3 linked regions of the Danio rerio genome follow. The protein of the gene in region 1 interacts with the protein of each later gene in a pairwise test. Links are inferred from orthologs where the notes say so. Each region holds a gene or a part of one and is shown in the gene's direction. Other genes may lie near its edges.

Region 1 (2,798 bases):
GGATGCCCTTCCAGCCGCAACCCATCTCTGGGAAACATCCATCCACAGACACACACACACACACACACACACACACACACACACACACACACACACACTATGGACAATTTAGCCTACCCGATTCACCTGTACTGCATGTCTTTGGACTGTGGGGGAAACCGGAGCACCCGGAGGAAACCCACGCTAACGCAGGGAGAACATGCAAAATCAGAAACGCCATCTGAGCTCAGGTTCGAACCAGCGACCTTCTTGCTGTGAGGCGACAGCACTACCTACTGCGCCACTACGTCACCTATTATTATTATTATTATTTTTTATTATTATTTTTTTCCCCAATGATGACCATGTTATTTTACGTTTGATTCCATTTCTGTACTTGCTGTTACAGTTACTGTCAGACATTTCCTGAAAGCTATACCACTGTTTATTTATTTTTGCTTCTAATCTATTATCATTTATGCACATGTACTCCATAGAAAAATACTTGATCATCCCAGTCAATCTAAATAAATTAAATCTTTCCCAATAAAGTTATTCAAATCATCTGGTGAAATTTTATTTATATCGCAATAAATATGACAAAATATTGTACGTTTTTTTCCAATATCGTGCAGCCCTAATTTGTGATGTCTTTTTGAATGTCGTTTTGACATCCAGGTGCCAACTGGGAACATATTACTTTTGTCACATATTTGTTTCTTTTATAGTAGGATTTCAGATGAAGCCTAGGTTCTTTGTTGCTGTAGTGGTGCAAAAGCATTTAAAGGTTTAGTTTACCTGAATAGAAAAATGTACTAAAATATTTGTGAGTTTTATCTGTTGAAATAAGACATTTTGGAAAAAAGTTGGAGGCTGTTAAACCATTGACAACCGTAGAAAAAAAAATGGAAGTCAATGGCTCCCATTTTAAAACATAAAAAAGCACCTTCATTGAAGCTCATTTGTATTCACTAAAGTAAAAAAAAAAACTCAAAAAGGTTTGGAACAATTGTATCGAGAGTAAATAACAGAATTGCAATTTTAATCAAATATCATAGACTGTAAAATGGGTGAATATTCCTTTCATAAGTTTAGCTCATAGCTCCCTCTGTTGGTCAAAATAATCACTATATTGTTTCCTTCCTTTCAGACTGTTTGGTCAGGACGGACTCTGTGCTTCCTGTGAAAAGAGGATCCGGGCCTTTGAAATGACCATGCGTGTGCGTGACAAAGTCTATCACCTCGAATGCTTCAAATGTGCTGCCTGTCAGAAACACTTCTGTGTTGGAGATCGTTACCTGCTCATCAACTCGGACATTGTGTGTGAGCAGGACATTTTTGAGTGGACCAAACTCAACGGCAGCATAGTATAGTTTTCTGCCGAAATCATAAACAAAATGTAACCTGTCAGCATTTTCAACAAACCCTTTACTAATAGAACATCAATAACAAAATATATATTTTAAAGAAATATAATTCTGGCTCTAGTAGCTGTGCTCTAAATGCTTGTCTCTTTTTGTTATTTAAACTTGAGAAAAATGCCACCAGGTTTCCCAGTGTTGGGTTGCAGCTGGAAGGGCATCCAGTGCGTAAAACATATGCTGGATAAGTTGGCGGTTCATCCCGCTGTGGCGACCCCTGATTTTTAAAGGGACTAAGCCGAAAAGAAAATGAATGAATGAATGATAATTGCCACCAGCAACAAGAACCTTTTTGTTAAATTTGATATATTTTTGCAGAACAGCGTTATACAATTTTTAATGTATTGCAATAAAAACTGATTCCCTTTGCTACTTTTACACAATTACTTCGATTTGAACTATAGTACTATTTGTTTTGAAGTAACACAATTGCAATAAAATATACAGACATCTTAGAAAGATGATGCTTATTCTCTCAAGCTGCATTTTGTTCACTGGACAACTGTTTTCTGTCAATTTTTAAAAATGTATTTTATTTCTGTGATGCAAGGCTGCATTTTCAGCAGTCTTCAATCCCATCTTCAGTGTCATATTAGCTTTAATTGGAGCTCAAGAAACATTTTTTCACATTATTTTTTATTGTGTGATGCTTTTTTGTGATGTGATATCTATAATATGTTATCAAAGTGCCAACAGAGCACACCCAATATTCCTAAAAGGACATATTGTATACATTTCATATATATTGTGTACATATTGTATGCCAAAAAAAAAAAAAAATCATGATCTGACACCTAAAACTTATTGTTGGTGAAATTTTATTTACTCCTACCAAATTCAGTCATATTAGATCACCTTTTTTACCTTGATCCAATTAAATTAGATACTTCTCTGCTTAGGTTATGCTCTTCACATGAAGTAAACACAAATATCATAAAGTGAGAAATGAGAAGAATTGTTTCGATACCATCGCATAGCCAAATTAAGGTCTGATGCTTTAAATCTCTCATTTAAAGTTGGTCATGTGGCTTGAACATTAAAAAAGACTGCAACAAAAAACAAGCAAATTAAAAAAACTACATCCATGTAATGTTATATGGCAGTAACTAAATTAGGCATGCAGATGCGATCAAGAAAATGGGCAAGAATGTTAATTTAAATGACTGGCTGAACGTGACATTGATGTTGGTGCCATATGGCTCTTGTAAATATATTTCAGAAACTGATTTATTTATTTATTTATTTTTATTCACTGTCAACTCAAGTATTTATAGAGAATAGCCCGGAAAAAAAGAAACTATCCGGTGAGGGGAAGTTTTAAAGGTGAAAATGCCAGAATTTGTTGTAAACATCATGAAAGCAAGAATGTCACCTGATAGCACACAATACATACGACAC
Region 2 (4,420 bases), on another chromosome or scaffold:
GATACATTTGGTACACATCATTTACAATAATCATTAGATTATTTAAAATGCTGTCAATGAAGAATAAAAAAAAGCAAAATAAGAGTAAAAAAACTAAGAAATATCAAATTGAGAGTGAAGAGGGCAAAATAAGAAGATAACAGTGATTAAGAGATTTAAGAGTATGTTTTAAGTGCTTTCTTGTTAAGTGAATCTGGAATTTAGTAATAATTTTGAATCTCTTGTATGAAATGCTATAAATGTTGGCTTGCACTTTGAAAATGTACATTTAACGTATAAATAAAACAAAATCTGCATAAAAAGAATGTTTATTATAAAGTAGACATTAAAATTTGAAGGCTTTAAAAATAAAAAAATAATTACTTTTGGAGTCACAGAAAAAAGCTGTAAAGCAATATTTGAGATAAATAAATTCACATCTTGCCAAAATTGGAACACGGTTGCATGACAAAGGAAGAGTTTTAGCACTATTTTGACAAAAGGAGCAATTTGTACTAAAGTCTGATCCAAATCTTTTCTTTAAGGTGTTTTTGACAGGGTAAATGTTATTTAAAAAGTTAAATGATATTTCCTTTACCTTATTAGTAAGACAAAACTTGCTGTATTGACCATATATTTTCATGATCAAAAAGACCAATATGATCAATGTTCCAATATGAGACAGCAGGAGCGGTAGAGAAACTGATTTCAAGAAAAAGAGCTCTTGTTTTATAGTTTTTTTATCCTTCTTTATGGCAAAACAAATACTGTTATCCATTTTTTAAATTATGGTTTTACACATACATGACAATATAGCAAATAAAATAATGCCAGGGTGATGAACAGTAAATATTAATAACAGTACAAAAAATAAATAAAAACAAGAGCATAAATAATTCAATATAATTCTTACAATTACAGACAAGCAGGACCTGTTCATTAATCAAAGATTTTAAAACTAGAGCACAAATGGGCCGTTTTAATGGCCTTTAGCACTATGCTGAATAGTACAAAAGTATTTTTTTTTTAGTTCCTTATAAAACAAAGTAAAACAGGATTTTTTGTTAGAAAATGTACACTTATAAACATGAAACTTAATCAACAAAATAAATATGATTGCATTTTCCAAATGCAAAGTACAAACGAGCAATTTATATCAATTTCCTTTTTAAATTTACTGAGTTAATGTTTAACCGGATAGAATTTATGAATTAGTTTTAAAGATATTTCTTTTATTTGTAACAAAAAAATGAGCTAGATTGATTATGGGCAAATTAATCCAAGTTACATCTCTAAATAAGGAATCAATAATAGAATAAATTGCACAGAAAACAAAAGAAAAGTCCATGGGAGTTACAGGGAAGTTAAATTGTAAGTTACAAGAAACTCTTCATAGGATACCCTGGAATGTTAAACAGTTCACAAACTAAAACAAAACCCTTTTCAAACCACCTCTCCAAAAATACTCTTGTGTTTATACAAAATACATATATTTTTTTCCAAATAAAATAACGCTGTGGAGAAAAATAGTGCTCGTAGGTACAACGTTATCCATTGAGATTTAAACTAAACTGCGTCAGTCTGTTTCCCATCATGCATCTCTCCTTCTCCTCCAATATCAGCGTCGCTCTTTCAGCATCGCCGCCATTTCAGCAGGCGAAGGACGAGAGTTGCGACTGAATTTTTTGTGCGGGTTTAGCGACACCTCACGGGACGGAAAAGCGACTGAACACCTACCTTTGTTTTTAACTATAAACGCGTGTTTATAAACCGCGTCTGAGGATCCACGAGCAGTTTAATCTGGAAGGAAGAAAACGCGGACATCTGAGAGCAAAATGTCGACTGAGGCTTCGCCAGAGAAAACAGGCCAAGGGTAATGCGACAACTGCATGTTGTTTTCATGTTTTGCCTTTTAATTGTTTATGTCAATGTTAGGTGTGGAGTGTTGCAGTGTATGATGTACCTATAGTTATTTTTACTTAAGTTGCAGTAAATATACCGACGTTTAATGTCTAATTCCAAACTCGCTTGGTTGATTCATTCATATCCTGCCGAAACAAAGGCGTTGGAATCACGCTGCAGGAAACCAGCATGGGAAACGCCACACACAAATGTGTCTTCTAAGCGAAATAAAGCCTGCAGATGAAACATAATAGTTCACATTGGGTAACAAACACGAGTTGACTCTTTTGTATATAAATATAAAACATTTTCTCAGGGTTTTAGTCTTAATTGTTGGGGAAAACAACTGCTTTTAATGTAATTGTGTATTTGATTTTTCAGTAATACATGCATAATGTAACTTCAAAAAGCACGCAAATAAAAATCAACTAGGGCTGGGCGATTTGCCAAAAAAGATCTCGATACATTTTTCCATATTGAACGATAACGATATATATTTTGATGCAAGTTGTTAATGCTTCCAGAATGAATTGAGTACCTCAACAATGACTGAAGCCACAAAAATGAAAGGGTCCATTAAATGGCATAACATATTTTCGGTGGCCGAAAAAAATCGATACATTTCTAATATCAACATTTTTACATTACAATTGTTGCTTATTTATGCTGTGTGATTGGCTCTTACATCAATATAGAGTACAAAAAAGTCCAGAGTTTATCATTTACAAATTTTATTGCAATTCGATGTCCTATCGTATATCGGCCCTGCCCTGATATCAACAAAAAACAATGAAAATCGAGAAAAAAGCTCAGATTATCAGGAATACCCCAAATAAAACAGATCAGAAGAAAGGTTAAAAACATAGCTCATTTTTTAGATGATAAGAACAGTTACAGTATTTTTAGCTTGATTGGGCACAGGCACTGTTAAAAAAATAATAATCGAAATCTAGAATCCAAACTTTGAATATTTTTTTGTGTGTGTAAAACGTGGGTGAGATGTTCCAGGGGAATTAACGGGATTTATCACAAATCCAATTAAGTAAAATAAATTTTTTTTCTGGTGGCTAAGGTTAATATGATACAATTTCTTGATGGGAAAAAAAGAATGTGTCCTTTAGGTATACCCAAAATCAAAGAAATTTGGTCAAAATCCAGCTGCATGTTAAAGATCTTTTCCATTTTCCCCACCAAAGACCAACAACTTTGCAGTCTGTTAACATTCTGCATAGGCTGGTGTAAGATTCTGACAGTTTGATAACCTTGGATAAAACTATTACGGTTTGATGGTGTTGTGCTCACTGCTCTAAAGTATATTATATTTAAATGTCAGGGTAAAAAAAACTAAAACTTTTCCCTTCTTTTAAACACAATTTTTTTTTTTGAGAAACAAAAAAAATTGGAGCAGTAAACATGTCAGGCTGAATATTGAAAATAAATCATTGACTTCTGTCTTCATTAGTTTCAAAAACACAGCTTTCTTTATAATTTAAAACAACTTCTTTTGATATCTTTTCTGCTGCAGATACTGTTGTCCTAAACAAAACTAAAGAAAAAAATCTTACACATACCTTAGGAGTGGTATAGTAGGAAATTTTGGTGGATTTGAAACCTTGTCTTTTCCAAATGGCGTTATACCTTAAAAACGGTTATCGTCCCATACCCAATTAACAATTGCTTTTAAAAAAACAAAACAAAAGCATAGCATATACAGCTGTTCATTTGCAAACTATCTATTTTGTACATTTTTACTTCTCTTACATAATGCATTTTTATTAAATTGCTTAAGTTGAAAACTGAAAAAAGGCTTTATTAGATATTTATTCTATAGTTCACTTCATTGAAACAACATCAAGTGTTTACACAGTACTTAGACTATTTAAATGAGTAAAGAAAAATCTGCAATCAACTCAAACCTGCTTGCATAATGTAGTTTTGTGTCATTCAGGATAGAATTTGTTTCTTTCTGGGTGCAAAAAGCATTAATTTGCATGTTCTTTCCATACAGAAATGCAGTGAACGGCAAGTCCAACCATGAATCGAGAAAGGAAAGGCCCCCGAAGCGTGGTGGTGGGGGACGGTTCGAACCCTATTCGAACCCCAACAAGAGATACAGCGTGTTTGTCAGCAACATTCCCTATGATGTTAAATGGCAAACGCTGAAAGATCTCATGAAGGAAAAAGGTACGCTTTTGTGCTGCATGGTTGTATCTCTCAGGACCCTTTTAGTTTTGAAGGTGGCCACCTTACACAGTTGCTTTAGGTCAGAGGACAAACATCCCATCATGGGGAAGTGGTCTCGGAGAAAGGCTGTTCTAATAGTGTCTTGAGGGGGAAAGGCTGTTGTTGAAACCGTCTAATTAAGTTTGCTAATGTGGGTGGATGGAACTTTAAAATTCTGTGTGCATTTGCACATGCATTAAGAACTTGAGATTAATCCATTCATATGAATCTGATTCCTGTAATCGGTCTCTACGGCTTTGGAGAAAGTGTGTAGTTTATTTACTATAACCTGTTGGTTAGTATTTCAGTAACAACC
Region 3 (4,235 bases), on another chromosome or scaffold:
CCATTCTCAAATTTTGGTGTAAATAGTAACAAATCATTTAAGATAATACGTTTGAAACTTTTTTCACTTTTTTATTTCTTGTTTTTTTATGTACAAAGGTAGTAATTAATAAGTAAAACTAGGTTATTTATTTCCCATTTACACTTATGAATAATGAATTATAAATAAAGACAATATACAAAATATTGAGATTGAGTCTTCATAATAAAATATACTTAACTTTGAGTTGCAGTTCTATCTTGGTACTTTGTTTCAAGCTAAAAGTAAAATCTTACCAGAATAATCGTCTGTGCTAGATTACATTTAAGAACATTTAACATTTACAAAGATACAATATGAACAAAGAGAGAAAACAAGAGTCTAAAAGTTTAAATGTTTTACAACAAGAAATGCAATATAATTATTCAAGTTTAAGTATTTCACGTATACATCAGAATCCTTCCTAATAATAAAAAAAAAGGATGTTTCTTTGAAAATTTACATTTATAGATATAAAATTTAGCTAGAAAAAGCAATGAACTAATAGTACCTTTACAAAGAGAATGATCTAAGTACAAAGTAACCAAAGAATATAATTTTTGGGGTATATACACAAGTTTGGAGTAAGAATTTAATGAAATTGGAAAAGTCAAACCAAAACACTTTACAGTAAGTACACTCCCGAAATAAATGATTTAGTGTTTTGTTATATTGAGTATAAAATGAGCATTTAAGTGAATAGTGTTATTAAATTTATACAGTTTGGTATTTATTAGGACTCCTTCACCCAGTGGTGTGCAAAAACATAACATGGAATTGACAAATCCAAGTTTCGTTTCTGTTTCTTTCCAGCATTTGATTTTAACTCTCGTTTTCTCGGAAAACGTGTGCTTACCCGATGGCTAGTGGCTGTGCTATGAGTTTCGTAACCTCCCCCTGACAACAAGCATCTCAGCATGAACTTTCTGTTCCGTACGCGTTTTATTGATCATATAGCTATTCTTATGTATCTTAAGAAATAAATAATGAAATGTTATCATCTTATTATGAAGTATTAGTATCCGTCCATCAAAAGGCATAACAACATCTTTGTGTTTCGCTGAGTTTCTGTTCTCTTATCAGTTCCTATTCTGTATTGAGTGTGAGAGTAAAGGGAGGGCTGCGCTTCCCTGGAACAGCCATTGGCTAGGGGGCGTGCTTTTACTGTACGCATCAGAACGTGATTGGTTGTCATCGCTGGTGTATTTAAATATGGCAGTTAAAGCGTTACCATTGGCCTGAGAAGTTAATGTGACATCCACCTCTGTGAGTATTCTATAATTACGAAGTCACTGAGGAGAATAAAAGGCTGAAGCAGACAGTTTAGTCTACGCGTATTTTATCTGCTTATCCCGAGATACACTCCTTTAGTGACTTGACTAAACGTCCACGTTGAAAGGTAATACATGTTATGCGTTTTATATGAGTTTGTTCATGCAAAATGCTATGGGAAAGCTGGAGATAATGAAATGCCACGTAAAGCAGCTTTTTGTTTATAATGTAATGAAATATTAGTGAATGTCATATCATGTAATTTGTAATTTCATTTCATACATTTTAGAAAATGAAAACGTTTTAAATAAGTAAATTAATTGCATAGATTAGAAGCTTTAGGGATCTCTTAAAATAATTTTCTGCTGTAGATGGCTATTTCATTTTCTCATATCTTTTGATCATATCTGCATGACTTTTATGCAAAAGATTTTATATGCATGGGCTTGATGGCTATTAAACTTTTTTACAATTTACAATGAGTTAAAAATAAATCAAACATTTTAAATTGTAAAGTTATAACTACTTTTAATTAAATTATTAATTAAAATAAATAATATTTTATAAAAGTCCCATTTATTGTGAAAAATGTATATATGTATTTATATTCACAACTGGTCAAAAGTTTGGGGTCAGCAGGATTTTAAAATGTTTTAAAATAAGCTTCTCCTGCTCACCAAGGCTGTATTTATTTCATCAAAAATACAGTACAAATAGTAAAATTGTGAAATGTTATTGCACTATAAAATAACTGTTCAAAAGTAGTTTGTCATTTAATTTAATTGTTTATTCCAGTGATTTTAATGATGAATTTCCAGCTTCATTACTCCAGTCTTTAGAGTTCCATGATCCTTTAAAAATCTCTCTAATATTATTTTATTATTATTATTACTGTTATTATTATTATTATTATTATTAATGGAAATAATATTAAAAGCAATAATAACTAAAGTAATAATTTCATAAAACAAGGTGCTTGGTGAGAAATGTCAACGCAGAGAGGGTTGCATAACGGGTTGCAATTTTATGTTTGCAGATGACGCTCTGGAACCAGCTGCAGCTGCTGGACTCAATGTATTTGGAGCAAGTGGACCAGCTTTACGATGAGGCTTTCCCAATGGAGATCCGACAATATCTATGTCACTGGATTGAGAGTCATGACTGGTGAGATTTTAAAATAATGATTAAAAATTTTTTGCATAATAAATTGCTACCAATCATCATCATTTTGAGACAAAGAGCATGTTTACATGGACACCAATAATCCGGACAATTAGGACAATTCTTTGATTAAGAGTAAACAGCGATTTTTGATTAATTTAATCCGATTAAAGTCATAATCGAACTAAACAGAAATGGAATTAAGACATGTGGAGTATGCTGATTTTAGTCGCATTGTTGAAGTGCAGTACAGACATTTAAACACCGCTGTGACAAATCGGTCTTGTTGTGGGAAGAAGTAGACAGGGTCGGCGATATAGTGTAAATGAATGTTTTTTTTTCCACAGTAAAGCAGGTCAACACTTTGGGCCCTATCATACACCCGGTGCAATGAGGCGCAAGGCGCGACTCAAAGGTTGTTTGCTAATTTCTGCATGGTGCAAGAGTCATTTTGACGTTTTGCACCACGTTATTTAAATAACAAATGCATTAGCGCTCATAGGCATTCTGGTCTAAAAAACCAAGTGTATTAAGGCACGTTGCTATTTTAAGGAATTTGTCACAATCAAACAAGATTTAGAGAAGGATCCAAATGCAAGTAACGTGTTTATTTGATGCAGTCAAAACAAACCAACAGGGCTGTATGCGTGTGCAAGGACAACTGGGAAAACAGGGTAGGAAACAGACAGACGAACGGGGTCCTCCTCACAGTCCTAAGCACAGACAGACCCACGAGCAAACACAACGAACTGACAAAGAAACATAGAAGCGTCGCCCAGATATAGGCACGATAGTAAGCCTCAGCTGGTGAGCTAATCAAAACAGAGAGTATAGTCATAGCACGTGACTATAACCAATACACGTGCACAACCAAAACAAAACCCACGTGACCAAACAGACACTCCGAAAGGTGCACAAACCTGCAACCGTGACAGAATTAAATTGTCTGTTCAATAGACCAGATCAAAGCAGGTCTAAAGTCCAGCGCAGAGCAGGTTAGTTGTGCACCTCGCTGACACATTGCTTAATACATACAAGGTGTACAGCAATACACAAATATCTTTACAAATTAAAAAGGATTCAAGGATTAAAATATAACAAAAATATTCTTTTCTAGCCTACATAAATATAAAAACCATAATTTCATGCCTTCTTTATCTCTGGGGGCTTTTTTAGTTTATTCATTACAATTTGCTTTTGTGTAATGTTATTATTATTAGCAGTATTATTTATTATTTACATATTTACATGGGTGTTGCTAGGCCTATTCTACTCAGCCCCCCTAAAACTTTTTGCGATTAGCTCATGAACTGTACACTCAATTATTGCCTCAGTCACCTTTAAATTTAATATGAAACAGCGGCAGAATTCCGCTCCTCCCCTTCTTTTCTTTTTTCATTTGATCAGCAAACCACAGCCGTGGACGTCGAGAGAACAAGGTGTTATAATGTCTGCTTATTAGCAGTTCTTTGATATAGATAACCTTGTATCATCTGTATCCCAGTGTCATGGAGGAGCAGTGGGGTTTTCTCTGCGTTCACCTCATTAGCACAGCTGTTTCCTCCAGCGAAAAAAGTAACTCTTAACGAACATTTCACAATTTTTATTTCAAAATGAACTACCAATAAAAACACTTTACAGTTCGTCTGGCACTAACTATACCATACAGTCTTGCACAAAAAGCATTAAACACAGTGACAGAAGCACTTTGAGAATGTACTCAAAGTTTTAACTGTGACTGAGTCACTGACAGAAATAGAAACATCAAGTGTTGTCTAGTACTA

The links.
Region 2: the proteins of lmo2 (region 1) and hnrnpm interact in binary tests that used the Homo sapiens proteins (3 or more experiments, as listed by UniProt). The link is inferred for Danio rerio from reciprocal best matches to the Homo sapiens genes LMO2 and HNRNPM.
Region 3: the proteins of lmo2 (region 1) and stat1b interact in a two-hybrid assay, tested with the Homo sapiens proteins (2 studies listed by BioGRID and IntAct). The two-hybrid records come from large-scale screens. The link is inferred for Danio rerio from reciprocal best matches to the Homo sapiens genes LMO2 and STAT1.

Annotation. Positions count from the first base shown.
Region 1 is NC_133193.1:41,222,815-41,225,612, forward strand, and holds the end of lmo2 (rhombotin-2), read left to right. Parts: intron 1-1,129; coding exon 1,130-1,352; 3' UTR 1,353-2,180; downstream 2,181-2,798. UniProt on the Homo sapiens protein: Acts with TAL1/SCL to regulate red blood cell development. Also acts with LDB1 to maintain erythroid precursors in an immature state.
Region 2 is NC_133197.1:17,222,952-17,227,371, forward strand, and holds the start of hnrnpm (heterogeneous nuclear ribonucleoprotein M), read left to right. Parts: upstream 1-1,601; 5' UTR 1,602-1,814; coding exon 1,815-1,852; intron 1,853-3,889; coding exon 3,890-4,065; intron 4,066-4,420. UniProt on the Homo sapiens protein: Pre-mRNA binding protein in vivo, binds avidly to poly(G) and poly(U) RNA homopolymers in vitro. Involved in splicing.
Region 3 is NC_133184.1:42,946,893-42,951,127, forward strand, and holds the start of stat1b (signal transducer and activator of transcription 1b), read left to right. Parts: upstream 1-1,342; 5' UTR 1,343-2,326; coding exon 2,327-2,454; intron 2,455-4,235. UniProt on the Homo sapiens protein: Signal transducer and transcription activator that mediates cellular responses to interferons (IFNs), cytokine KITLG/SCF and other cytokines and other growth factors.